Danio rerio: one gene and its partners. The protein of the gene in region 1 purifies or fractionates together with the protein of each later gene. This does not show direct contact. Links are inferred from orthologs where the notes say so. Each region holds a gene or a part of one and is shown in the gene's direction. Other genes may lie near its edges.

Region 1 (3,542 bases):
ACCGCAAGTATATTTGAAATCTGTGGGAAGCACTTAAAGTGGAATAAAATATACAGAACAAACCACCATCTGTCTGTCTAGCTAAAACAGCATCAAAAACTCTCTGAAACTGCTTTTTATATAAAAATAAAGCAGAAATCAGTTTTTTTGTTTAGTTTTTTTGAACAATTGTTTTATTTTCATTGATGCATTCCTAATGTGCTTTGCTCTTTTTCTTCCCCTCTATACAGGTGGATGAGGACTATATTCAGGACAAGTTTAATCTTACAGGACTCAACGAGCAAGTTCCCCATTACAGACAAGCTCTGGACATGATCCTCGATCTGGAACCTGGTCAGTCATTTAGTTTTTCTACACAATCCCACTTTTGTGCCATCATTATGGTCAGCATTTCTTTTAAATAATTCAACCTTAAGCTTTAATTAAACGCATTAACGGCCCAACCTGTCACTTACATGAGACTAGCCAATAGCTAAACCAGCATTCAGTCAATTGCCAATGGATGACGTCAAGTCCTGCCAAATATTTCTTGTTCTTGTTGGAAAGCAGTGTCATGTGAATAGTGAGATGATTCTTGTGTTCATCAGATGAGGAGCTGGAGGATAACCCTAACCAGAGTGACCTGATTGAGCAGGCTGCTGAGATGCTCTATGGGCTGATTCATGCTCGCTATATCCTCACTAACCGTGGCATTGCCCAGATGGTATGATCTCCTTTTCAATTTTTTGAATCATTTCATTTAAGAAAGATGTTATTGTATTGTGACATGATGTGCTGTTTTCTCTTGGAGCTGGAGAAATATCAGCAGGGAGACTTTGGCTACTGTCCTCGTGTTTACTGTGAGAATCAGCCAATGCTGCCTATTGGTGAGTGCCTCAGCCTGTTTTGTGCATGTTATTTTACCAACCCAGTTTTCATGTAGTAGAAAAATGTATAAGGTAAAAGTATTTGCAGTAGTTGCATATTGACATACAATTATTTAGTTGATTAAATATAACCATTTAAACGACACATTAATATTAATAAAAATAATAAAGAATATGTATCATTTGATTGAGCACTGTAGGCTCTGTCTTTAAAAGTTTTATGTAGGTCTATCCTTATATACAGTTAAAAACAAGTCATATTTTAAAATATTGGCACAAAAATCTGTACTTGTTTTTAATTTGTCATTTATTTATTTATTTTAAATGTATTTTTTATTTAAAAATAAATGTTTTTTTATTTTTAATTTCACCATGTCTTCACTTTAGCATTTAAGCACAAATATAATGTAACTTGTACACTGTATTTCACAGCGCCTACTTTGCTGATTTATTTCATGAGCACAACCGTTACTGCATGTTAAAAGCCAAAAGGCGGATTAAAACACAAGGAGTAAATGTGGAAGACTTGTGATCTGACGAAAGAGTGTAAACAGTGGAGCCTGTAGCATTAGCTGGCCAGCCAGTTCAGTTTGTTTGGTTTGACCCAATCTTGGGTTTTAGGTAACATGAAGTCAGCTCAATTTTAGTCCCTCTTTGTTCTCATGGTACTATGGAGCATATAAGCTAAGCTACGTTCATGCTACCTAAAACCCAGAATTGGTGCAAACTTAACTGGCTAGCCAGCTAATCTGGCGTTATGGTACAGGCCGCTGGTCTTCAGGCAGTCCATTGTTCACATGAGCTCCACTGAAACTTGAAGGAATGAATCTTTTGCCCTCTCCAGGCCTCTCTGACATTCCCGGCGAGGCTATGGTGAAGCTCTACTGCCCCAAGTGTATGGATGTGTACACGCCGAAGTCATCCAGGCACCATCACACTGACGGAGCTTACTTTGGCACCGGCTTCCCTCACATGCTCTTTATGGTGCATCCCGAGTACCGGCCAAAAAGGCCTGCCAACCAGTTTGTGCCCAGGTTTGTCCTTCCTCCTGATTTTCTCAGATGAAGTCTACAGTTGTTCAGTTTGATCATAGTTGTTGTCTTTGTCCTCTTTCAGGCTTTATGGTTTTAAGATTCACCCAATGGCTTACCAGCTCCAGCTGCAGGCAGCCTCCAGCTTCAAGAGTCCCGTCAAAGCCATCCGCTAAACACCTGGGATGGGATGGGATGGGGTGGGGTGGGATGTCGGGTGGGTTGTGTGTCCGTCAACAAGGGCTCACTCTTCTCCTTCGATTTGACCGAGACTAACATTTAAATGTGGAGAGAGTGAGACTGTAAAACACTGGGGAGAAACTAAAAGCTTACCTCTGAAACACTGTACAGAAAATGAGGTGTTCCTTGTAAAAAAAACAAACTTCTTTCAGTTCTCAACCTCCACATAGAAAATAAAGATCTACTTAAAGATAGATAACTGTAGGATGGCTCTGCTCGCTCTCTGGTTACTGTTTGTTTTAGTTTGCTAATGCTAACATATAAAACAGTCTTGAATTGATGTCTTGTCAGTTCTCGGCATGGTGGATGGTTGGCTTTGAATGTAAAAGTAGGGTTGATTGGTCATCAAAACCCCATTTAAATTGGCTCAATCCCCTTCTCTGATATTTGGCTTATTGAAATAAAAAGGAAGGCTGTTGCATGATATATGCAGTATGTTTTGGGTTTAAGTGACGTCGCTGGGATTGTCTTTGACTGTTTTTTGTTGACAGACTGCAAGCTTTCACCGCATGCATAAGATAAGAGCAGAAATGGGAAGACAAGTGTAATCAGGAAACGCCATCTTAATTCGACATGTTTTTGTTTTAATATTTGGTACTGCACTCTTCTTCAGATTGACGCCAACCTGCTGCGTTCCTCCAGTGTCCAGATTCTTCAGACAAATTTGATTAGATTGACCAGAGTTAGGATGTTTTTTATGTTTGGTATGGGCCCAGGTTTTTCTTCTCTTGTTTAAAGTATTTCTTCTGGTAGAGAAGAGTCAGAGTAGAAAATATAAAATGGGTTTAAATGCATTTCTTTTGTGTGTGCTATTTCTTTTCTTTGATCCTGTTGAATGTTTTTTTTCCTTTACAGCTATTGAGGAACCAGGGTTCAGAATTCACAATAAATGTCTTTTCCTACAACTTGTGCTTGAGTTCTGCATTTTTGTAATCAATGTAAACTAAAGAAATCCCTGACCAAAGTCAATTTATTTTAGAAAGTTTTGCATTGCCTGCTCATTGTGTATCAAACTTGCTGAACAAAGCTCTTTATGTAGATGTCAAACAAAATACCTACATCATAATGAATGCAATATGAGGGAAAACCATGAATGGACATTTACATTGTCAACTGCATCCGTCTCAAGTCCAAACTAAAGCAGTCAATAAACAAACATAGGCAACCTGCAACAATAATTTGTACTTTTAGGAACAATATAAGAATACAGAATAAAGAAAAGTGCTTTCTTAGTAATTCAGTAGAAAATTTGTAGACATTGATAACGTCTCCTGACACCTGACCTGACCTGACACCTAACAAAAGGGTTTTAATCAATTATCCAATCTATTGCATGAAGTATGAATTTTACCCTCCACATGAGGTATGGATAGTGGCGTGTAAAAGCATCTTATTAATGTAGATT
Region 2 (4,268 bases), on another chromosome or scaffold:
CCACACTTGCAGGTCTTAGTCTTGATGCCTTTTTTTAAATGTCACAGTTTAGCCTGACAAAGCCCTACATTATCATTAGTGTATTTGAGTGCCATTAAAATCAGTTTGTACTTTGTCCCATCATTTGACTCAATGAAACATGGTCCTCTACCAATGCACACTCCATATCCTCCCACTACCATCTCATAAAGGCGGCCATTCATACTCTGTTTTACTCTGGCAACAGATTCACCGGCACGCTGGCAGATGGTCTGTGGTTGCCAGTGGTAACCACTCTCAGCGAGAAGCAACAGTTGCTCTTCTCTGCTCCCTTTGAGAGAATAAAAAGTCAAGAGGTATTGGCATATCACTGCCTCGCCACAAAATGGGCAAGCCTACAAGACAATTACAATTGAGAACATCGAACAGCATTCCTAGCATGATGGAAAAGGAGATAGGCTACTTGTGCCAGTAATGGGGAATACTTTGTTACATCAATCTCTCTTTTGTTGAGAAGTTTTTTTTTTTTTCTGAGAAATGCCCTGGGATGATATGCTTTCATATCAGTCAAATGCAGTTAAAAAGATATTTTATAGGAAATTGGTGGTGGTGTTGTTGTTTAAGTGATAAAAAACATCCAAATGTTATCTTACACCTGAAAAACGTGTAATAATCAAACTGCTAGATTTTTTTATTTCAGAACCCAGTTTATGAATTGATGACTTTTTTGATTAGACTTTAACAAATTGATTAAGTTGGTTGACAAATTTATGAGAGTGTGGACTGAAACACAAAACACAAAGTCTGTAATTCAATCTGAATTTTTGTGACATAGCCAATACTTTAAATTCGCACATAATTCTGACGAATTAATGTCATGTGAACATGATTGATTTATCAGTTCTTGCTGAAACCCCCAAAATTCCATCTAAATGTATCTTTTTCTGTTACTTTTGTCCTTCTAACTTTAAAAAACAAAACAAAATTGTATGAGTTTTGAGGAAGATAATTGTTTTTGTTGTGAGTCTTCTCTGTGAAATGTACTTTCAGACACAAATGGAATTTTTAAAAACAAAAAGTATTGATCTCCAGGAGTTTAAGAAGTGTTTTCATCTGGCCTCTTTAACTTTGACACAAATATATTTAAATTTTAAGCTATGGACAGCAGGACATACTTTTATTTGTGTGAGGTGACGTGACACGCACGTGTGTATGAGGTTTGAACGCAATTTCCCGATAAATCCACGCCGAGACCGCAAAATAATTAAACTACTGTATGTTTGGAAGAGGATTTTTTATTAGTTACATGAGAGTTTGTTTGAATATAACAACCTGTAAATTTGAGCTAGAAGTTTCAGCCCTTGTCAGTGCAGCTTTAGAGTTTGCCTTGCAGTAACAGCACAGGTCCAGAGAGGGGCGTAAGCAGAGTGTTTGGAAAAGGGGCTGGCCGAGAACTGTCTTCAAACCAATGATCGGCTGAAGCTTTTACACTGTGGATTCGGTTCAGAGGAGAACACACTGACAGCATCGGCTCCTCTTTGCAGCGTCTGTGTGCACACCGACAGTCAGTGTCAGAAGACACTTTCCACCGTATTGCATTAACACATCTTATTGGATTTCCTCGGAGGAGACGCGATTGATCGGCGCAGACGCGCAGTGCATGTTCTTCTGAAAGCCGAGTCCACCTGCGCGTGTCTGAGAGATTTGTTCATTTCCAGGAACGGGGCTGTGCAACTCCTCTTCCTAGCCGGACTGAGAGGAGAATCCGTCAACGTCATTTAAACGGGAATAACAGCTTTGATCTTTCTTTTTCTACGAAGTGATTATGCGCGTCCTGCGCGGATTGTAAGCAAGGAAAGTCGCCCGTTTGCTCCTGACCCAAAGGGACATATCAGGTCGTGCCAGCAGGAAATACACGGGTTCGGAAGAAATTCCCATTCAAATTTGAGGACTTGAGACAAACAGAAGGAGCGTGCACAATGCCTCTTGCTCAACTGGCAGAGCCATGGCCCAAAATGGAGCTGGTGCAGTTGGAGACGGAGGTGAGAGGTGGTGAAATCACAGCACTAAAATTAACTGATTTAATGTGCGCCCTTTAGGTTGCTCTATCCGTGCCAGAGGTCCACGTGTTTGACTTTAGGAGTTCATGAGAAATACAGCAGTCGTCTAGAAATGTGATACTTTGTGCAAAATAACTAAAGAGTTGTGCAGGTGTGATGGTCAGGGTCTTTATTCTGTTCTTTTGGAGCGCCAGCAGGACGCGCAGCGCTCAAGTAGTGCAGGTCAGATGTTTCCTAATACTGGAGGGTCGTTTCATAAAAAAGTGCCTAGGTGACCTTCATAATCGATGACTTTAACCAAATAATCTTTTTCTAACTTAAACACACTCACACTCACACTCACACACACACACACACACACACACACACCAGACCCATAAACCTTCTTCATTTGGATGTCAGTCGTAGCCTTGTAATGATAGCAGTGTGAATATCAACCATGTTTTCAAGTTTCTTTTTTGATGAAAACCATAATTTTTTTTAAGAATCATGTTCATGCTATTTCACAGCTGCTTTGGAAAAAAGTCAATTATATCTAGATTTTAAATAATGTGGCATGAAAGTATAATCCAAAAACATGCCACCACTTCAGTGATTCATAACCTTTTTTCTAAATCAGAAAATCACATAAAATCACATTTTCAGCGTGGAAAAATGAACCAATTTTAGGGAATGACTCTGCAGTTGTGTCATCTTTAAACTCCAGCGGAAGAATATTGTTTTCTTGTTGTGCTCAGTGAAGCAGCTGTTTTCCAGTTTTTCACTGTGCAGTTCTCTTCTCTGGGGTACATGTCAAATGTCATAAAATCAAATAAATAATACAGCAGTTTAAGGTCAGAAGAAGCATTGGGAAACAACACTCGAGTTATCGAGCTCTTTTGTATTTCTGAACTTTAGTTGTGGTGCATAAGAAAAACACAATTTTTAGTGTTTTTTTATGTTAAACATGTTATAAAATTATTGGCATATAAATACTTAATATTTACATTGTCAAAATCAAATAGCATCCACTCGTATCTGCAGTATAAATTGTCATGCTTGGTTATAAAAAAATTAGGTGTTTTTTCCTTTAAAAGATTTAAATTGCGATATGTGTTCAAATATGCTAGTTTGATGATTTGTATCTTTTGGTGACAGACCACAGTGCTGACATCTCTGAGAGCTAAACTCCTAGTCAGTTCGAGTTTTGTATCACAGAATACTGTCAAGACGTTTGCATTGTACAGCTCTGGAATTTCCTCTTCCAATTCAGCTGCAGGCCAAGTTTGCAACTACAAGGCAAGCAGAGACAATATGTTCTGTGAGTGATTAATGAGAATGGAAGGAAGAAGATTTAATTTCTTATCTTGCTCTCAGACTAATGTTGATCTCATTTGAGAATCACAATAAGAGGCGTATTTTACTCTTTTGTTCCTGTTCGTGTAATCTGTGCAATTTTGAGATTAAATTAACTTTAATTTTCCCTTGCCTTCTGCTCTCTCACCTGCGCAATGAGTTCACCACCAATCAACTGGCAGCAGGTTTGCTGCAGAAACATTCTCAGTTTTCTCAGTCATTTGAACGAAATTACTTCTGCAGATGAAAACGAGAGGCAGAACTGATCAGAAAAAAATCTAATATAAGTTTAGCAGGAAAGCTCTACTGATTAGAATCTTGCTACAGCATTTCTGCAAGTAGCCTACCACAAGATCTTAAAGTGCTTCTTCCTGATATAGACTCGCTGAACAAAGGACTAAGCACAGGAAGTCACACCACTTAATTTGTCTGAAAAAGACAGGTTTTAGTTTTTTCACATGCTGCTAGTGCTCAAAGGACCCCAGACACACAAAGTGTGTAGTTACTAGATTGAAGAAAAAATGTGTCGTCAAAATGTAAATGTATGTAAAATGCACACCTGCCTATTCTGTCTGATATTATTTTAAAAAGGGCATTTTGCCATTTGCATCAAATTATATTCAACATAAGTGCAATTTTGCAGTCAAAACATGACTCTTTACAAATAAATAGATCTATTGCTAGTTTTGATATGTTTGTTTTGATAATCTGACATTACTTGCAGCATTTTGGTGTATATATTTTCATGCTTACAGAATCATGAAGTATCAGTACACATTAAGTTAGCTTGGTTTAAAGGTCCTGTGAAGTGCTTTGAAATGTGCATTTTTGGTGTGTGACAATTTCAAATGAAACTTGAAAACAGGGCAGGAAAGCTCCTCCCCTTTTAAAAAG
Region 3 (4,169 bases), on another chromosome or scaffold:
TGTCTTCTTTTTCGATGGTATCGATCATCTCGGAATATTTGTATTTCTGATGATAAGCTGTAATCAATTAACTACGGGTTAGTTGGACTATTCTACGCTCTATTTTTTCTATTGCCCATTCAATGGGACAAAAGTGCCGCTTAGTGAAACTCGTAAAGGCGCGCAATGATGACGCAGGAGATGTGTGCCAGAATCAGAGCTCGACAATGGACATTTATCAGGGATCCTTTATACATCTAGCGAGCGTTAAATGTGTCACCAAAATATGTCATGTACATATGATGAATTTAATTTTTAATAATGCATAATTTTATGAGCAAAGGTCCGTTCATGGTGTTAATTTAACTTAAAATTTCTGTCCAGATATGAGTGAAAATGGTGCATTTTACTATTTTATAATAGTCTACTTGCAAAGAAATGGAAAAAAGAAAATTAGTACTTTTTATTTTAAGAGACATTAAATAATAAAGAGTATAAATAATATAGAGTCTTCTTTATTTTTAAAAATATTCTCAAAGGATTTGACAAATCATTTGACAATCATTATAAGATTTTCATTCATTCATTTTCTTTTTAGCTTAGTCCCTTTATTAATCTGGGGTCGCCACAGCAGAATGAACCGCCAACTTATCCAGCATATATTTTACGCAGCGGATGACCTTCCAGCTGCAACCCATCACTGGCAAAATAAGATTTTAATTTCAAACAAAATGTAATAGTATAATTTACAATAATAATGGTTTTAAGCAAACATAAACGTGACAGAATTATATTTATTGGAGTGTAGATCACTATTAATAGCATTAAATGATTGTTTTCTAGATCTGTGCTTGCAAAATAGAATCAAATAAAAAGTTGAGTTGTATAAAACTGATACTTTAGAGTTATTATATTCAATTATATATATATATATATATATATATATATATATATATATATATATATATATACATATATATATACATATATATATATATATATATATATATATATATATATATATATATATATATATATATATATATATATATATATATATATATATATATATATATAGGTCCAGAATAGGTATTGAAACATATGATACCAAAGATAATGCAATGTTGATATATTTTAACTGCAAGGCCCCTTTTTTGATAAAACAGTAATAATACAATGAATAATGATAATAATAATGATGATGATAATAATAATAAATACTGATAAAAATAACGTTTTATATTAAGATATTATGTGCATGATTACAGTTAATATATACTATTTTAACTATTACATTACCCTTAGAGTAAAAAAAAAAGTGTTTTTTTTTCATGACCCGATCGGTCATTTCCGTGACAGTCGACGTCACGTAAGTCCGCCCATTCTCTTCGGAGAAGAAGCGTCGCCATTTTAAGAGAATGAGTTTCATTTCACATCGCAACTGTAGGACGGAGAACCTCAGGAACGTTTTCAACCTGTTTCTCTTTTAAACTGTTAGGGGGGAATTGACTACAATGAACTGAATCTCTTCCTAATGCCAATCAACAAGTAGATCAAAGTCAAGTAACGCATAAGACAGTTGATTTTTTGCACTGAATGTAGTACGTTAGAGGAAATGGCTGTGGAAAGCATGACTGTCCATCCAAACTCCCCAACAGCCAACCACGAACACAACAGCCTTCTCACTGACGAAAGGTCGAGTAATATCATCATATTTCTATCCAACTATTGATTTGTCCTTTGCTTTTTTCCAAAAACAAAAAGCACGGGCATTTGCTTTTTTTCTTTCAAAGGGATTAAAGTCGCCTTTTCTGGGAAACGTACAGAGGTAACGAAACGCCATCTTGAAACGTTACACAGCGCAATCTGGAAGGTCACAAGCGAATCAGGAAAACATTCAGAATATGATCAAATTGACATTTTCAGTCACTTTCTAATGTTTTTTTAGTGATCGAAGACCATGGGGCCACCCCTACGTCAAAACATTGATCCTGTAACAGTGTTTTCATCACAGATAAAGAACAGATGGACAAAAGAAATCACAAGCTAATTTTTTTTTGTTATAGACCTAAAATTAAACTCCGACTTATTACCACAACGCAAACCGTATGTTATGTGGTAAAACTGATCCCTTTTTACGCATTAAGGAATTTGTTTATCCATCGCGAGGCCTGGACCGAGCTAAAGCTAGCAGTGCTAACAGTTAGCCAACAGTTTAGCAACAAAACACGGCTAACGGAAGCTAATGAATAGCGACGGATTAGCACGGTTTATAACTTGGCGTCTGATTAATTATTCCTTATTTAATTGGTCATCGAATGCAATACGATTTAGTTTATCTTAACGTAATAACGCAAATTTTAGTTCGGGATGATAATTTGTCTCCCTTTAGCGCTTAGCACTTATGCTAAGTGTCACGAGCTACGCACATAGATTTATTGGAGACGTCACTAAAATAACTTAAATATTTTTATTCCTTTAGGGTTTGGTTGCTTGAGCGTTACATTTGTGTTTTAACGTTAATAGGAGCTATGTAATCATAACTCATCCGCTTTTGTTTTTTAAAATAAGTTGTTAAAACATACAGGTACATTAAAATTAATGTAGTATATGATTTTATTTATTTTAAATATTTATTTTATATTTATGTCTTATTAGTAGCACGACATATGCCTGTTGATTCGGATTATAAAAATGTTTTAGGTTTCTTTACATTTAAGCTTCATGGGCTTTAATTTGGTTAAATGCCGTTACTTTTAGTCCTCCACATGAATTAATTTGTTGACAGTAGAAATAAATGTTAAATTGTTATTAATCTAGTAAATATGCCACAACAGGTGTCCCTGTTTTTCATACACTTCTTTTATTGTAATTTAGTTAGCTTAATGTACACATGCATCCCTTCATGGTCCAGTGCTGTTCAATGTCTCAGAAGCATTCAAGGTCTTATCAGAACACAAAAGTGGTTAACCATTTTGCCCAAACTGCAACCTTTCACCTCCCTTATGCATACATAAGTATTTCACAGTAAGTATTGCCAGAAATGTACAGGCCAAGTTATTTTATATATCTTTGCATGCAATTGTCTTTTATTACTTGCATACATACAGTGAACATACTTTGAATGATTATTATTTTTTAAGTTAGTTGTAAATTTGCCAAGAATTTCTTGCAACACCTTATGGCTAGATCCATTTTTGTTACATTGTATACATACTTTTTTTTTTTGCTTTTGTCAGATGTTATTTATTTCAAAGTGTGTTTGACAAGTAAATAATGCGAGGGAGCCCCATTTATAATTTTGTTTGAACCTATTGTTTTGTCATTGTATTCAAAAACATTAGAATGAAAAATTACAGAATCAAATGAGGTTTTTAAAAAAGGTGGTCTCCTTATTTACTGAGAGCCCACTATGTTATGTAACTATATTTTGTTTCACAACATGCTAATAATACCCATGAAATATTTTTGTTGACATAGAGATGAATGGATTTGTAGTTAATCATTAGTGACCATTTACCAATTGATTCTTTCTGTACTGTTTTAAAAACATTACCTGTTCAGAAGAACAGATAACTTGAGTTTAGCCATGGAAGATATGGTTCTTACAGTCCACTGATGAGGAAGTTTGTATTTTTATAATGATTTTGAGTTTTTTATATTATTAGTTAAATGTAAAAGTTTTGTCTTTAAAGTTTGGCAAATTGACTAATTTTTTATTGTTATTACTAATAGCATAAAGCTTTTTTTAAACTAGCTAAAGTTACTTAAAATATACTACAATATAAATATGTAAATGTGTCAGTTGGTTGATACTTGTGGAAACTTGTGTATCTTGAATCATATCTCATCCATGGCTTTGCATTTAGGTTCATGTTTTAGCAAATCCTTTTCCTGAAGTTTCCTTTTTCAGGAGTAAAGTTTAGGGGTTAATTGATAATGTTTTGTCAATGCGCACTGTAAAGTGCAGCAATGTTTCTCTGTCTTATGTGACTGCTCCTTATCTTTGTTTTGAAGTGTAGTCCTGTCTAAACCTTATAATTGCTTACTATACAACCTATATGTTAGATCTTCTATAAACAGGGTGGCTCTGTAGTGACTCAGAGTTGCTTTGAGCAATGCACAAATGAGCACTGAACATTTGACACCCCTAGTGTGATTCTCAACACAACTAAATTACAATGTTGCAT
Region 4 (4,270 bases), on another chromosome or scaffold:
AACTTGTGACACACTCCCTATATTGTTTACCACGGCACTTTGAATATTCGATCTGAAAAAGCTGCAAGTGTGACTTGAAAACAACATTAGCACTGTTTATTTGACTGTGAGCAATGTTCTACTTCAATAGTCATTGGCGGCTAATATGATTTTGCTATTTAGAGTTTGCAAATAATACTTTTATAAAATTATATTATTAAGGAGAAAGTCAGAATGTGTGAATATAAAACCAACTTTACCTCTATGTGTAAGTTAACGTTGGCTCCGTCTGCTTTCCTTGTCTTTGGCCAAGCAGAACCTCTGTTTTTAGCACTACATAGTTTTGAATCTGGTAATCATGGAACATTATTTCTTACACTTATTTCTTAATCTTGTTAAAACACTTGGAGCTTCGATGAGAGAGTTGTATATTTGGGGCAGGATGCTTGGCCATTTCGTCTTATCCAATATTCATTGGGAGGGTGCTTTCGCGACTCACATCACTCACTTTAACGTTAATTTTGCCAAATCACTGTACTTATCACTGGGTGACAAGCTGTTATAATACGTTGAAAGCATTATGTAAATCATGCATATATATATATATATATATTAAAAAAAATAATATATATATATATATATATATATATATATATATATATATATATATATATATATATATATTTATATATATATATAATAATATATATATATATATATATATATATATATATATATATATATATATATATATATATATATATATATAATATGTAATCAGTATAACTTACTTCTAAGTCAACAAACTCCGCATCGGATGTCATTCCCTCGCTGTAAATGCTAGCGCTCCCCTTTTTTTTCTGCCACTCCCTGCGCGCGCATCCTGAATGTTTAAAAACATGGTAATTCGTCTATAAGGTTCCTTTAATAGCATCGATGTTGTAATGTAATTGAAATACAATCAGTTTAATAGACTTAATCATTTATTAAGTTGTTTAAGTGTAAAACGAGATGAACGATTGCGTAAACGCAAGTGTCATCAGTAGAAGCGTGCTAGTGCAGAAACTCCACAGAAAATACATTTCCATATTTTAAAGACATAACGCAAGAAATCAACTTAATGCAGTACTTCTTGTCCAGTCTAGACCAACTTTATTTCATATATCAATCAGGAAGTAAAGATCACATTAAAAAAAAGAATTCAGATCTTAAAAGTCAATGTACATATACTCAATTTAATTGGACAAAATCAGTAGTGCAGGATGAGTCAATATTTTTGTTTGTTTTCTAGAAGCCGCACTAGATCACACACACTACACAATCTAATAAAAGTTACAGTTAGCAAACAAATGATTGTCTTGAACTAATACACAATCTAAAAGCCACAAAACGACATTTTATTTGATTGTGTGTTAAAAAAATTAACAATGTCTGATAATGGTATTCCTCATGGTACTGCACAATTTACTTGTTTGTAAAATTTCCCTACCGTCCATCGGTGGACCTTTATTTTGAAATTTCCGGAAGTCTTGGTGCAGTGAGTTGAGCTTCACTCTCTCGTTCCCCTCAGCGACTCTGACATCATGGCGGACGCCGATTCTTGGGGTGAGAATTTCTTAAACTCCACCGTTATCTTTCTCTTCTATTCGCTTGGAAACATATAATCTTTTCTACCAGATAAACGTACGCCAAAAATACGCCTGTCATTAAGTGATCTGTCTGAACAATCGGTCGTTTTCCAGATGCGGACAGTTTCGAGCCTGAGGAGCCCATCAAAAAGGCGGCAGTTCATGACAAATGGGAGGGCGAGGATGAGGACGACGACGTGAAAGTTAGTAACGAACCCTTAATTTGTCGTTCTCAAGTAAAAAAAACTGTTTTAACTCTTCTTTAATCCCTACATATCAAGACATTACAGTTGGCTAACTTTAGCTAGCTACTCTTGCTAACTCAAGAGTGTCAAAACAACGTGGTGATAAGTCCTAATACGTGTCTATTTAGTTTGGTGTATACCTGCTTAAATACGCTGTCATAAGTTAAACAGTGAAATTATAGTAATTATATGAGTCAGTTCCATTTCTCTAGGCCTTTAATTACAATTAATAGTTTTGTTAGTGTAGATGGCCTTTTGTAGCAGCATGTCACTGTAGATTGTCACCTGTTGATTATTTAAAATTATTGGATCATCCCAAGGAGATTTCATAAAAGGAAAGTTTGAGAATGTTAATGCTTCTCTTAGGCTAGCAACGAAGATGAAGTGGACTAATTTATTAATTAAAAGTATTCTTCCTTTCCATTTAGGATAATTGGGATGATGATGAAGAGGAAGAAAAGGAGGAAGAGGAGGAAAAAAAGACAGGTACAGTGATGTTCATGAGTTGGGGGAAAAGTGCATTGTTAGGATAAAATGGGGTCAAAGGCCAAAAAGGATTTTGAAGCATCAAAGCATATGTTGCGCAGTGACCATGAGGCTATCAGTGAAGAACAATAATAATTTGATGATATATTAAACTATTTAAGCAATCACGTTGAAGCCTCAAAATACTTACTGTCATTTTTAATCTTTGTAATTTCGCCTTTGTCCTTTAAACCAAGTTCAATTACTTATAAAGCAAGTTTTTAAAGTACATAAAACTAACTTTATACAAAGCAAAAATTATTTAAAAATTTTTTTTTTAATAATAATAAAGTATTGAGAAACCAAGAGAAATACTAGAACTACTAGGTTTTATCTATTAGTATCTATTTACCATAGATTTTAATACTTTTAAAAATTCATAAAGTTTAAGTTAATTTGTTTTAAGTACAGGTCAAAATAAGTATACATTACACTAAATGACGAGAAACCCTTTTCACAATATTTCGACATGCTTTTTTCACAAATAATATTTGAAATATTACATCATCTCATTTGACATGCTAACTGTGTATATCTGCACACCAAAATGGGACGTCTGTTATGAATTTTTTTATTTTGTAGTTGGCTCTATAACTAAATAAATCTACATGCATGAATATACAAACTATTTTAAAAATATTTTTTTAAAAGACTGTAAATTATCCACATTTAAATTCACATAATTACAAAGCATCTGCAGGGTCCTAAAAGTCTTAAATAGTCTTAAATTTCAACTACATTTTAGGCCTTAAAAACTCCTAAATTCACTCAAATATTGTGTTTTAGGTCTTAAATAATTTTAAACAGGTCTTAATTTTGTTTTGTCCAAGTAAAGTTACTCAACCGAAATCCATCCAATCATCCACAATGTGTCTCAATAAAACCTTATTTTTTAAATTAAAGTTTTTTTTATTGCAAAAAGATACATTCCCAACAGCTGTTAGCCATTTCTTACAGAAAATTCCCCAAATTAAATGGCCTAATCAGGAGAAAAAAAAACTAAAAATGATTACTCAATTCCTCAGGACAATACCAGGCCATTAGGATAAATCTCAACCCTGCATAAGTCTAAAATGTCATTCTTAATGTCTTAAAGGGGTCTTAAAAACTCTTACATTTGAATGGATGAAACCTGCAGAAACCCTGATCAGGTACTTCAGTTTGTAACGTTTGTATGCGATTTTGTTTGGATTTTTCATATGCAGAGGCTAAACCTACAGAAAAAAAGAAACTCAGTGAAAAGATAAAAGAAAAGGAAAATTTACAAAGGAAAAAACAAGAGGAGCTCAGAAAACAAGTAAGTTGGCGCAGTAACAATTTATTGATATTAAGCACATTTAATTCACATTGTGGGTTTTTATTTTTTTATTTTGCTGTCACTGTTGAAGTTTATCTTGATATGGCTACAAACTTTGAACTTGTATTATAACTATAACCATTCATGAAGGATTTTGGGGTAAATATATCACAGTTTTAACAAAAAATATATAGCTGATTATAAAACATTGATGATAAGTGTTTCATGAGCAGCAAATCATATTAGAATGAGGATCATGTGACTGCAATAATGATCCTGAGATTTTGAGTTTGACATTTCAGGAATAAATTAGATTTTAAAATATATTATAGTACAACAATTATTGTAAATGCTATTCATTTTGTAAGAATATTTTTCATTAAATGTATACAACATTACATTTTTAAAGCAGTTAGAGGAGACAAAAAGAGACACACCACTCACACCAGAAGATGAACTGGCAGAGAAACTCAGAGTGAAACAACTACAGGAGGATTCAGACTTAGAACTAGCAAAAGAGGCATTTGGTGAGTGCTTTCTGTATATAACATGCATCTACATTTGTTTTTAAAACGGATAAAAGATTCAATTCTGAA
Region 5 (3,500 bases), on another chromosome or scaffold:
CTAGCAGCTCCAGTGAGGAGATGACCTCTGATGACTCCTCTCCTTCTTCCACTGAGGCAGAGCATGAACTGTATGTGGATGTTAACAGCAGTAGCAGCCAAGCCAGTACTGCGGCTGTGGCATCAGGTAAATCCGCTATTTATTATTTTATTTTTCCCAGTCACCGCAACTTATTGTTTTTAAATGAAGTATACAGATACGGAGAGCTCACAGTTTGTCCTTGTGGTGACTACTTTGCTTTGAATGAGAGTGCTTGTATTCTTTCAAATGACTTTGAATTTTTCCTTGTTTGCATTAAGAAAAGTTGGATTAAAACTATATACTGACACAATTCAGCAACGATCATGAACCCACCAATAGTTTCAAGCAACTGAACTGGTCAAGGCTGTTATTGTAATTGTGAAGAAAAACATACTCTATTCCCCAATCAGCATCCAGGACTGGAACCATTGTTTTTTTTGTTTATATAGCAGAGGTGGGTACTCGTGGTGAATAACTCAAGTTGCAAATTTGAAAGAGACCTAGCATCCAAAAATCACTTTTACATGTTGCTTGAACACTAATGTGTGTCCAAAGTGTGCATAAACAGCCAGCCTATAAAGGTCAAATCCACCCTCTTTTTTTTATAAGCTCCCTAAATAAGAAGCAGTGTCTGAAATTATGCTGTTTTAGATTTCGCCCCTAATCTGACGTCAAAAGCTGAGGTCAAGACAAATGTTAATCTGTCCTGTTAACATGGATCTGAATTCAAGAGAGAATGTTACTTTCATGTTCTGAGGCAGGGGTGTCCAAACTCGGTCCTGGAGGGCCAGTGTCCTGCAAAGTTTGGTTCCAACCCCAACCAGACACACCTGGGCTAGCTAATCAAGCTCTTACTTGGCTTTCTAGAAACTTCCATGCAGGGGTGCGTTTCCCAAACAACGTTGTGACTTTCGGCTGAGCTATCATAGCACGATGCATCATTTAGGAAAAGCACTATGTATTTATTAGTAAATAAAAAAAAATCACTCCTAAAATAATATTAATAATTATAATGATGATGACGATGATGGTTATTATTATTGTTTTTAGTAGTAGGATATTGTTTTATTTATTTATTTATTTTTGAAAAGTCTACTTTTATAGTTTGACACATGCAAGCCACTGCAGAAATGTTATAATTAACAGGCCCTTGTCAGATACAGTGCAGATACTTAATAAATAACCTATTTATTATTACTATAAATTAATACATTAACAAAGGCTATATATTTTGTTTTCACAAGCTTTGGAAATGTACCATAAATTCCACTTTAAAACAATGTCACCTATAGCTTTCGCCATGAGCCACAGCTGTGTTCAATATGGCATCAATGTTTTCAAAGTGCACTGCGAATAGAGCGCAATTGTAAACCTAAAGATTGCTAAAACTGAACTGTAAAAATACTTTAAAAGCAAATGACACATACGAGAGATGACTTTAATGCTTAAAAAATCATTCCATGTTAAAATGTTAGAATGTTCTAAACGAATAGGGCGTAGGGGGGATAACTGGGAATAGAACACAGTCAGGAACTATGTTTCTAATTACAGCTCCAGAGGTTTAGTTGCAAGAATAGTTTGCGACGCAGTTTGTGAATGTTCGTTGAAACGATGGATTTGGGAAACGTCAAATTAATGAACCATATTTGTAATGACAGAACTTGCGACCTTAGTTGGTTAACGGTGGTTTTCGGAAACGCACCCCAGGTCTGTTCAAGCAAGTTGAAGCTAGAATCTGTTGGACATCGGCCCTCCAGAACCGAGTTTGGACACCCTGTTCTAAGGCATAACTGCATAAATACTTATCAAGTAAAGCACATCGACATATTTATTGTATATAATTTAGTTCCACCGTTCAGACGGCAAACTTTATTTGCACATCGTAACTTTCACAGGTTCAAAATGATGAGGCAATTCGCATATCTCAACTGTTTGTTCTCTTCAACCCCTGCGATTGATTTATTTATTAAATAACAAAAACATTTGTTTAAATTCATAAAGGCATACACAGTGTACTTGGGTGCTTAGCATGTGTATGTGCTAATTACCCTTATTACAGAATTGTTGTAGTACATAGAAGCTTGCCCTGTTTCTCCATTTGAAGTTCCAGACTTAACTGCAAAAAATACTATTTATATATTTTTATCTAAAATATTGCATATATGTGAATGGCCCTTTAAGTAGCAAATTAACTCATTGGAGTGAGTGTACACAATTTGTCTTTGTAAATAATTTATTTTGCATTTGTGATATTCAGTAAAGTTTGAGATATAAAAAAAATTAGCCCATGTTCGCATGCGTTTCCTATGGGTGCTCCGGTTTCCCCCACAGTCCAAAGATATGTGCTATGATTAAAATCCAAAATATTGTAATATTTGAACATATTAAAGTATAGTATAACTTTTTTACATGTACATTTGATCAGATACATTTTGCCATGATGAGCATCTTTCAGGAATATTAAAGTCGTTACTGACTCAACTTTGCTGCATGCGGTCTCCGTCTGAAAACAGAAACGGCACAGCAGGAGATCAATTGTGCATTTTTGCTTCTGCTTCTGTCCTTGATTATATTTTTCATAAACATTCGAATTGAGTTGTATGTTGTTGAAGTAAGCAAGTTTCACCTCCCCCTTTAAAGGGTGGGGATATAAACAGCTACATTCTCAAACACATTAGCAAAACTTCAAATACTTTTCTCATTTTGTTTCAAGCATTCAAAATTAATACTAAAAGTAGTAATGCTACTAAAAAAATAAAGGCTTGTTTATTGGTCAAAACTGTGCATATTTTAAGAGATTTATGTTGTAGCTGTTTCTTTTGTTTTTGAGGGATGGCTACAGCCGTCAGCATCATTCTGTGCTTGTGCAAGTCATTCTGTGCGTGTTACAGAATGTTTGAATTTCCTGTTGAGCAACAGCAAGTCCTCACCCAGCCCTCTCAATGCTCTCTCTACCGTTCACACATTCCCTTCTCACGGAGATCTACACCACTCAATTGAATATACATACATCGGCTGATAAAACCACAGAAATGTGTTAATATCTGTAGCTAGCAGTGCATCAGCAAAGAACCTGCCATACATAACTAGTGGTCTAGTGCTTCATCTGATTTTTCTTTTTCTTGCTGTTCCTCAACCTTGCCACTCACTCATACCAGCATGTTTTCATGCGTACATGTGATTAGTCTGTCATGACACTCAAATGTACTAATAGCTTCCTAAAAATGCAGATCATATCACTGAGATGATGCCTCGTTGTTAGAAATCTTTATATATATATATATATATATATATATATATATATATATATATATATATATATATATATATATATATATATATATATATATATATTATTATTATTTTTATTATTATTATTTTTTGTTAGTTATAGGTTGTGATTATCGACTGTATAAAATGTGTTATTAGCTGCCTTTTCCAACGATTGGTGAAACACCTTTATCCTTGCATAAGAAAAC
Region 6 (4,206 bases), on another chromosome or scaffold:
TGACAACCATTTTGACAAATGCAAATTACATTTACGGTTACAAAGTACAAATTATATGGATTGCAAGAGTAGATTTGTGTAATATTGGAATTGGGGTTGAAAATTATTTTTATAAAAACTGATGGTCTGTTTTAAGATGCAACCCAAGGCAATAAAAGAAAAAAATAATCAAAGAGTATAATGGTAATATGGTATAATATATAGGGACAGTAGAAGGGTTGTGAAGGGTTGACTTTTCTGGCCCTAAAATAATCATAAGCCTTATCCCTGAGCCCCAGTGACCAAATGTTGCAAGATATTATTGTGTCTCCTGTCATTGTCATTTCCACAACACCCTATTATTTCTATTACCATTTTTTAAATATATTTTATTATTTCTCATCACATATTAAAAAATATCCACAATTGATATTATTACACAATTCTATTTAATATAAAAAATTTATTTATTTATTTATTTATTTATTTATTTATTTTCTAATGAGTTTTTACCTAAACTAATATTACATTTCAGAATGTGACAATAATTCAGCATTTGGTCACTGGGGAAGTAAATTTAATTTATTGACAAAATGTATGTTGAGGGCAGTGCGGTGGGGCAGTGGGTAGCGCTGTTGACAGTAAAAAGGTCTCTGGTTCAAGCCTCGGCTGGGTCAGTTTCTGTTTGGAGATTGTTCTCCCCGTGTTTGCGTGAGTTTCCTCCAAGTCCTCCGGCTTCCTCCACAGTCGCTATAGGTGAATTAGGTGAGCCAAAAGTGTCCATGTGTGTGAATAGGTGTGTATGGGTGTCTTCCAGTGAAGGGTTGCAGCTGGAAGAGCATCCTTTGCGTAAAAACATATGCTGGATAAGTTGGTGGTTCATTCTGCTGTGGCGACCCCAGATTAATAAATGGACTAAGCTGAAAAGAAAATGAATAAATGAATGAATGAATAAATATTGTACACTGACTGTAAAAATACTGTAAAATTAGTTATAAAATTGATCAGTTCTTGAGTGGTATTGACTGAGTTATTCAATTGTTAAATAACCGCTGTGTTTTGAGATGTGATGGAAATGACATATGTTCAAATAGTTGGAATTAATGTGAAATATTAACAATTTCTCTTGTAATCTAAGTTTTTCCTCTTACAGATCTTAAGCCTAGACATATTAACTAAACTTATGAGACTGTAGGTGACTTTTGAACAAGTTTTTTTTAATAAACGTCAGTGGCCCTAGTTGAAGAAAAGCCTGTGTTTGAGTGCGCTAGTGTGTAAAATTATGGGCCTATTCTGAATTTTATACAAAATGTTTGTTTTCAGACAAGTTTTCTTAAAAACATTCCTTGATTAATCTGATAAATAGTCCTTTTATTGTGAAATACGTTTTGAGACTTTTATTTTAAAGTAACCTGCGGATGTAGTGCAGGAAGTTGATACGTTCTGTTTGTTGTTTTGGTGCCACGTTCACGTCTCTCACTACATTTAAAAATATATTGAATAAGCGAAAGGTCAGTTCTCACGTTACTCCTTTTAAAAAACACCATTTTGCTTGGTCGTTACAATTTTAGGGCTAACTTAAACGTTTAACGAAATGAATCTTTCGAGCTAAGGGTTCTTGGCCAGCAGGAAAACGTTAGAGGAAGTGATGCTAATGTCAGTAAAGCTCCTAACAGTTATATTTATTGGACAAAGCATGCAAAGACTAATGTTTATTTTAGTACACTATCTTTGGGTTTTGTATTGGTAAATTAACCAATAAGATCAGCCTGTGTTTGTTTGGATTCACAGGCACTGCTGCTTATTGAAATGCTTGAACAGAATACACACACACACAGACACACACACACAGATATATATATATATATATATATATATATATATATATATATATATATATATATATATATTTGTACTATATATAGAAAAAAGGAAGTGTGTTTGTGTGTGTGTGTGTGTGTGTGTATACATATATATATATATATATATATATATATATATATATATATATATATATATATATGTATATATATATGTATATATATATATATATATATATATATATATATATATATATATATATGTATATATATATATATATATATATATATGTATGTATGTATATTCTGTACAAGTATTTCAATAAGCTGTGCCTTACATACACTTCGTGTTTAAACCCTTTTTCCTAGGTGTATCCATGTCAAAGGTGTCTTTAGGTAAACTTCTACTCCGAAATGTCATCAGACACACAGATGCACATAACAAGGTATGTGACAATTTAAACACAATATTTCATAATTATGTAATCTGAAAGTCATCTGATTCAACTTAAAACTGCAGATTCAAGAGGAGTCTGAGATGTGGAAGTTGAGGGATCTTGAACGACATACCTCGTCCACTCATTTCCCAAAGCACAGGTGGATCACATGCGGCTCAACATTTCTTTTATTTGTGCTCACGGTGTGTGTTTCTCAGTAGTTGTAATGTGTAATGGTCATTTAGGGGCAGCATGCATTGTGACCGCTATTTGGACGACTCAGAAGGGTCAACGAGAGACCGGCTGGGTGAGCGGAGAGACGATGTATCTGAGAGAGATGAGAGGGAGGCACGATACTGGACACGCAAACTGTATGAGTTTGAAGCCAATGATCCTGACAGGTAGTGCTGGTTGGTGTTGTGCTCGTCATGTTTGAACTGTTTTGTACACTGTAAAACCCAATAAGTTAAGGTAACTCAAACCATTTGAGAAATCCGATTGCAACAATCCATTTAAGTACAAAAACTAATCCTAATGAGTACTGTGAACTTAATCCACTTGAGTAAACGCCGCAATTTCAGCGCAGTAAAACCCAATAAATTAAGTGAACTCAAACCGACTGAGTACTGTAAAAGCCAATAGATTAAGGCAGCTCAAACTGCTTGAGGAAACTACAAACCATTCGAGTTAAACTAATCTATTTGAGTACTGTGAACATTGTAACAAAAGGCATAACATGTTGTGTTCTCTCAGGTGGGGCCACAGTGGCTTTAAGGAGCTTTATCCAGAAGAATTTCATACAGACAGGTAAGAAGAAGCTCTTCTTCCACCCTTGAGTGAATGTTTAGCATATTGTTGTAGGTTTTGAGCAAGGTTGGAGAAAGTATGTGGTATTTAACAGCGAAATTGAACATTTATAGATTGAGGGAAAGTTGCCTTTTTATTTGCACATTTTTCAGTGATAGCTAGACATGGGATGATAACCGTTTTCAAGGTATACCATGGTTTGGAAAAGTCAATGTTTTAAACCTGCCAACATTTTCTGCTACAATTTTAAGAATTAAAAAAAAAATATATATATTTATTTATTTTATTTTTTTATGTTTTGTTGTAATTTTTAGGACAAAAGTTTCCAGCAGAAAAGATCTCCAAAATCTCCTAACCCTTTTCAAGTTGTAAAGAAATCTGTGTTTTCGAAACTATGAATGAACAATGAACAAATGAAGGCATCAGAAGTCAATGATTCGTTTGAATTGTTTAACCTGACATGTTTATTGCTCAAAAATATTGTAAATCACAGTAATCACAATACAGAGAAACCGTGATATTTTTATCCAAGTTTATCACACCATTAGAATCTTATACCAGCCCATACCTAGAGACAGCTTGTGACAAGCTATCTATATTATTAAAAAAACTTTTTTCTGTTGGATATCACATGCAAATGTGACTTCAAAACAACATTAGTATTGTTTATTTGACTGTAAACAATGTTGTACTTTGATAGTCATTGGCTGCTAATATGATTTCACTGTTTAGAATTTGTAAAGAATACTTGTTTGAAATTATATTATTAAGGAGAAAGTCAGAATGTGCGAATATAAAACCAACTGTACTTCAACCATTTATAGATGTTTGCATTAACAATTCCTAACTATAACAAAGTTTCACCCCATCAGATGATTCTTCAGCTTCACTTGAAGTTTAAAATGTATTGTTTCCTTGTACCAATATCTATGTACATTTTAACTGCTATACAGTGTAACCATCATTACCAATCTTGTTAATAGACAGGTTCCTGTTATAAAATCACATTTTATTCTTAAAATAAACTATTAAAGAGAATATATTTTATTTATACATTGTGTAATTTTAATTCATTTATTTATAAAGTTTAATCCAGAGAAAAAAAACATTGCCACCATCAAATGAAAATGTTTTTAAAAAGTTATAAAACCGTTACTCTAAAG
Region 7 (3,985 bases), on another chromosome or scaffold:
TGCCAGGCTTCCTATATTGTTTACCATAGTACTTTGAATATTCCGTCTGAAATCACATGCAAGTATGACTTAAAAACAACATACTATTTATTTGACTGTGAACAATGTTGTACTTTAATAGTCATTGGCTGCCAATATGATTTCACTATTTGGAGTTTGCAAAGAATACTTTAATGAAATGATATTAAGAAGGATAAAGTTATAATGCGTGAATATAAAACCAACTTTAGCTCAATAACTAAAACACGTGTGAAAATACACATATCTGAACTCAAATATTTAATATTTTCTAAATAATATTTTGAAACAATTTATGATAAAAATAAAGTATAAATACGTATAGGGACTATAGCATCTTGGTTCAGGGGATCTGAAAGGCTGAAAACTCCTGTTTTTATTATATATTGGTAAAAAAAAAAGTGAACATTTTAGCTAACTATATGCTAATGTAAAGAGTTTGGTACAGTTTCACACACACAAAAAAAATTATGTTGCAATGTATAACACCCGGTCAGAAGCTCATTGTAAGTGTTTAGAAACTGGTCATGCTGCACACTATTGTCGTTTTAGAAGAGCAACACAGGCTGAAATGCAGCATCAAAACATCACCTCTCAGCGTCTTCTGCAGTGCTCCTAATTCCTCTTCCTCGTCTGACTCCAAGGACGGTTTCATTGTTGCCTAAAACGCTTAATGAACGCCAATGTTGTTTAAAACAAACAACACAAATTCTCTTACTCGATACTTCAACAGCTGCAGTATTTTGTTATCAATGAACAGCGTCCAAAAAGACGTCAACGGTTGCATGGCAGACGAGCGCTTCCGTAAACCGCTTATAGGCAACTGGAACTTGTAGTTTTTACGATATCAAATTCGCTTGGTTAGATTGTTGAAAAAACTACAATGCTGTAATTTCCGCTAAGCACAACGTTCTCGTAGAGAGTTTTGTTTATTATCGAAGCATGCTTATTATTGTAAACAGCATATTTACAGCCAAAATTCATTAACAGTCAGTCATAAAAAATTTATATTTATGAAATATTGATGCGGAATTCATTGTATGAGGACACGCCCACCGGACTGTGTTGGAACTGCAAACGCTGTCCTACTTGCCTGATTCCAGGCTGCCGTATGTCGCCGCTATTTGTTAGGAATAACGTTATTGCTGCTGAGCAACTGAGGCAAATAGGAGACGTGGGGATACACACTGGGCTGGGCTACGAAAACCGTTTAGCTGCTGCATTGAAGCCCGGGATAAAACTGACAGCGAAAAGAAGAACAAGGGTGAGTGAGCGATTTGATAATAAAAAGAGCCGTTCTTATATTTCGTGCATGCAACGATGAAGCGTTTATTATAAGGCTAATGTATTGATGCATTTGGTCGTGTTCAACCTTTTTTTTCGCACAATGCTGTGGTGTACAGAATCCATGCTTTTCCCGTGATCTGATCTGATCGTGTGCTCAGGATACCGTAGATGTAACAGCAGGACACTGCTAGCCGGGTCGATCAAATTGAATGAACACTGCCTGCCTTTATGTGTGGTTTTGTATCAATGTTGTGCCTTTCAGTGTTCGCGATTCTTAAATGACTTATGTTTTCATACTGTGAGGTATTAATGTATGCTTTGATATCGAGTTTGATTATGGGTGCGCGTTGAGGAAACATCACTGGTCACCAGTTTCCCTAAACGCGTGGCATCTTGCTTACTATTGTAATATTAGCTCTCGATCGCAGCGAAGCACTAAAAACATCAGTAGCCTATTTCAGTAGTGGACGTCGGATGGGTAGGAGATGTGGATGATTTGCCGGGTACTGGTGCACACTGTGAAGGGCACTGCGCAGAATCCTTTGTTTTGACAAAGGCTCTTGTTTTGTTCTGGTAACGTTACATCTGGCCTACGTTTGTTTTGATTGCAGTATTATTATTATTATTATTAAAATATTAATACTTTTCAGCTATGCAAAAGGTTTATACGTGCTATTAAATGTTTTCTGCATCCGTATTTTATGAGGTGATTATCAAAATAGGCAATCTTATTGACAGTGCACTGTCTAGTGTGGTTGATTAAGTGTAGATTAATAGTTAAACAAAGGTTTTTGTGTCATTGTTAATTTTTTAGAGATTATTTTTAACATGTTATTGATACTACAATCTTAAAACTGTATATAGAGTAGGCATGGGATGATAACCGGTTTCAATGTTTACCACAGTTTGGAGAAGTCTGTCAGTCTGTCAGAACGTTTTAAAACCATCATGTTTTTCTGTTATACCATTTCTAAGGTATATGTAAGTTTTATGTTTTTAATGTTTTTAAGACATTACTTAGAAATTATACTGGATATTATATTTAGTTTTTTCAGGGTGGTATCTCGGTATATCCAGCTGAAAAAACCCTCCAAGTCTAAATGCTGTTACAAAATATTTTCAAATGTTTCTTAAAATAAATATATTGTGTTCAGTGGAGAAAAAAAAGTATTTTTTTTTTTACCCAGACATTTAAAAATAACTTATTTTAGAGCAGTAATCACAATACTGTGATTGCATGAAACAGTGATGCTTTCATTCAAGGTTATAGGTTACTGTCAGAATATTATACCGACCCATGCCTAATATAGAGACTGTCTTAAAAACTTTTTTGGCAGCATTTTTGAGTCACATTAAGATATTCAGTGAGCTGTGTGTTTTTTGAACTTTCCTGAAGAGCGGGTTAAAATGACAGTTTACCAAGAAATAAAATGTAACATGCTTATTAAATTACCCACCCTTAGGTCATCTACACTGTAAACGATTTCTGTTGTTTTCACAGTATTATACTGCATTTCTCAACAGTTTTTTACTGTATAAGCTGTGCACAGTGTGTTACTGTATATATTGTTGTTTTCACAGTATAATAATGTATTTTCAACTTTTCTATACTGTGAACATGGTTAACAGTATGTTACTGTAGATTTTATAATGAATTTTGGGGAAAAATCTGTTACTGTGTATCTAAATACAGTACTGCAAATGACCAAGAACAACTCCACACACACTATATATTATGATTATTATGTTTATTTATTTTTAGACAAATAATTTTGTGAAGTAAATAACCTAACCAGTTTCTTCAGACTGTTCAGTGCATTAAACTGTCCCCTGGTTTTCCATTTTTGGGTGCACTTTATAAGGCAACATGGAAATATTAAATAATATTTAATAAACATAACTTTGTGCTAAACCAAAACGTAAATTGGAACAAAAATAAATTGATTCACGTAACCAAAGACTGTTAAACACACAAAATGATTTTAAAGTCAGCTTAAATGTCAGAGTGACCAACCTGCTTTAGACGGATTCAAGAATATTGGGCACCCATGGGCCACCGTAGAGGTCACATATCTCCGCATTTTCAAAACAACATTTTAAAATACGCACTATCTTAATAAATAAACCACAGAATTGAGTTTAAAACAACTACATTCTCGCATGAAAAACGGTTAAAACTTTATTTCATAACACATTTATTATCTAGTCATCGAAGACAGGGGATGTCTCAATAATGTCTAGGCCGATTAAAGCATGAGGTTTGCCGGATACATAGTGATGGAGCGCCGTCATCCCCTGGAGGTCAGAATCTCCCCTATCGGCAAAGCACACTTAAAATTAAACATGATATCTAAAAACAAACCACAGATTTGAGTTTGGAAGAGCTACATTCTCGCATGAAAAACAGTTAAAACTTCATTTCGTGACATATTAAACGCAATATTTATGATATGATCTGGCTTTTCTCATCCGCCATTACGTTATATTTGCTTGTTGGTGTGAAATGAACTCTGGGAGAAAAAAATATTAATTCTCAAAACACTTCAAGCGAACCTTATTCTTATTGTTAAAGTCAGATATATGTAATATTTTCGCTGGTAAAGTGAGAAGAAAAAAACAATATTACTATTTTATCAATATCACGTTTGCACTGGTTCGGTTCAGCACACAAACGACACCG

What was found.
Region 2: the proteins of csnk2b (region 1) and rps6ka1 purify together in Homo sapiens (affinity purification with mass spectrometry; 4 studies listed by BioGRID and IntAct, with this or other methods). This does not show direct contact. The link is inferred for Danio rerio from reciprocal best matches to the Homo sapiens genes CSNK2B and RPS6KA1.
Region 3: the proteins of csnk2b (region 1) and zc3h4 purify together in Homo sapiens (affinity purification with mass spectrometry; 3 studies listed by BioGRID and IntAct, with this or other methods). This does not show direct contact. The link is inferred for Danio rerio from reciprocal best matches to the Homo sapiens genes CSNK2B and ZC3H4.
Region 4: the proteins of csnk2b (region 1) and eif3ja purify together in Homo sapiens (co-immunoprecipitation; 3 studies listed by BioGRID and IntAct, with this or other methods). This does not show direct contact. The link is inferred for Danio rerio from reciprocal best matches to the Homo sapiens genes CSNK2B and EIF3J.
Region 5: the proteins of csnk2b (region 1) and rnf111 purify together in Homo sapiens (co-immunoprecipitation; 3 studies listed by BioGRID and IntAct, with this or other methods). This does not show direct contact. The link is inferred for Danio rerio from reciprocal best matches to the Homo sapiens genes CSNK2B and RNF111.
Region 6: the proteins of csnk2b (region 1) and nkapd1 purify together in Homo sapiens (affinity purification with mass spectrometry; 3 studies listed by BioGRID and IntAct, counting the BioPlex papers as one, with this or other methods). This does not show direct contact. The link is inferred for Danio rerio from reciprocal best matches to the Homo sapiens genes CSNK2B and NKAPD1.
Region 7: the proteins of csnk2b (region 1) and cep170aa purify together in Homo sapiens (affinity purification with mass spectrometry; 3 studies listed by BioGRID and IntAct, with this or other methods). This does not show direct contact. The link is inferred for Danio rerio from reciprocal best matches to the Homo sapiens genes CSNK2B and CEP170.

Annotation. Positions count from the first base shown.
Region 1 is NC_133194.1:29,146,038-29,149,579, reverse strand, and holds the end of csnk2b (casein kinase II subunit beta), read left to right. Parts: intron 1-230; coding exon 231-333; intron 334-587; coding exon 588-703; intron 704-790; coding exon 791-866; intron 867-1,710; coding exon 1,711-1,900; intron 1,901-1,982; coding exon 1,983-2,073; 3' UTR 2,074-3,042; downstream 3,043-3,542. UniProt on the Homo sapiens protein: Regulatory subunit of casein kinase II/CK2.
Region 2 is NC_133192.1:28,543,685-28,547,952, forward strand, and holds the start of rps6ka1 (ribosomal protein S6 kinase alpha-1), read left to right. Parts: upstream 1-1,468; 5' UTR 1,469-1,958; coding exon 1,959-2,021; intron 2,022-4,268. UniProt on the Homo sapiens protein: Serine/threonine-protein kinase that acts downstream of ERK (MAPK1/ERK2 and MAPK3/ERK1) signaling and mediates mitogenic and stress-induced activation of the transcription factors CREB1, ETV1/ER81 and NR4A1/NUR77, regulates translation through RPS6 and EIF4B phosphorylation, and mediates cellular proliferation, survival, and differentiation by modulating mTOR signaling and repressing pro-apoptotic function of BAD and DAPK1.
Region 3 is NC_133190.1:26,185,575-26,189,743, reverse strand, and holds the start of zc3h4 (zinc finger CCCH domain-containing protein 4), read left to right. Parts: upstream 1-1,369; 5' UTR 1,370-1,594; coding exon 1,595-1,674; intron 1,675-4,169. Other genes in the region: sae1 (SUMO-activating enzyme subunit 1), read right to left, coding at 1-28. UniProt on the Homo sapiens protein: RNA-binding protein that suppresses transcription of long non-coding RNAs (lncRNAs). LncRNAs are defined as transcripts more than 200 nucleotides that are not translated into protein.
Region 4 is NC_133200.1:34,325,564-34,329,833, reverse strand, and holds the start of eif3ja (eukaryotic translation initiation factor 3 subunit J-A), read left to right. Parts: upstream 1-1,470; 5' UTR 1,471-1,562; coding exon 1,563-1,584; intron 1,585-1,721; coding exon 1,722-1,810; intron 1,811-2,280; coding exon 2,281-2,338; intron 2,339-3,582; coding exon 3,583-3,674; intron 3,675-4,083; coding exon 4,084-4,201; intron 4,202-4,270. UniProt on the Homo sapiens protein: Component of the eukaryotic translation initiation factor 3 (eIF-3) complex, which is required for several steps in the initiation of protein synthesis.
Region 5 is NC_133182.1:30,566,672-30,570,171, reverse strand, and holds part of rnf111 (E3 ubiquitin-protein ligase Arkadia), read left to right. Parts: coding exon 1-126; intron 127-3,500. UniProt on the Homo sapiens protein: E3 ubiquitin-protein ligase. Required for mesoderm patterning during embryonic development. Acts as an enhancer of the transcriptional responses of the SMAD2/SMAD3 effectors, which are activated downstream of BMP.
Region 6 is NC_133190.1:24,175,129-24,179,334, forward strand, and holds the start of nkapd1 (uncharacterized protein NKAPD1), read left to right. Parts: upstream 1-1,406; 5' UTR 1,407-1,490; exon of another isoform or gene 1,491-1,788; coding exon of another isoform or gene 1,789-1,891; intron 1,892-2,126; coding exon of another isoform or gene 2,127-2,176; coding exon 2,177-2,245; intron 2,246-2,319; coding exon 2,320-2,396; intron 2,397-2,481; coding exon 2,482-2,637; intron 2,638-2,989; coding exon 2,990-3,043; intron 3,044-4,206.
Region 7 is NC_133188.1:11,503,063-11,507,047, reverse strand, and holds the start of cep170aa (centrosomal protein of 170 kDa), read left to right. Parts: upstream 1-1,185; 5' UTR 1,186-1,282; intron 1,283-3,985. Other genes in the region: sdccag8 (serologically defined colon cancer antigen 8 homolog), read right to left, coding at 610-673.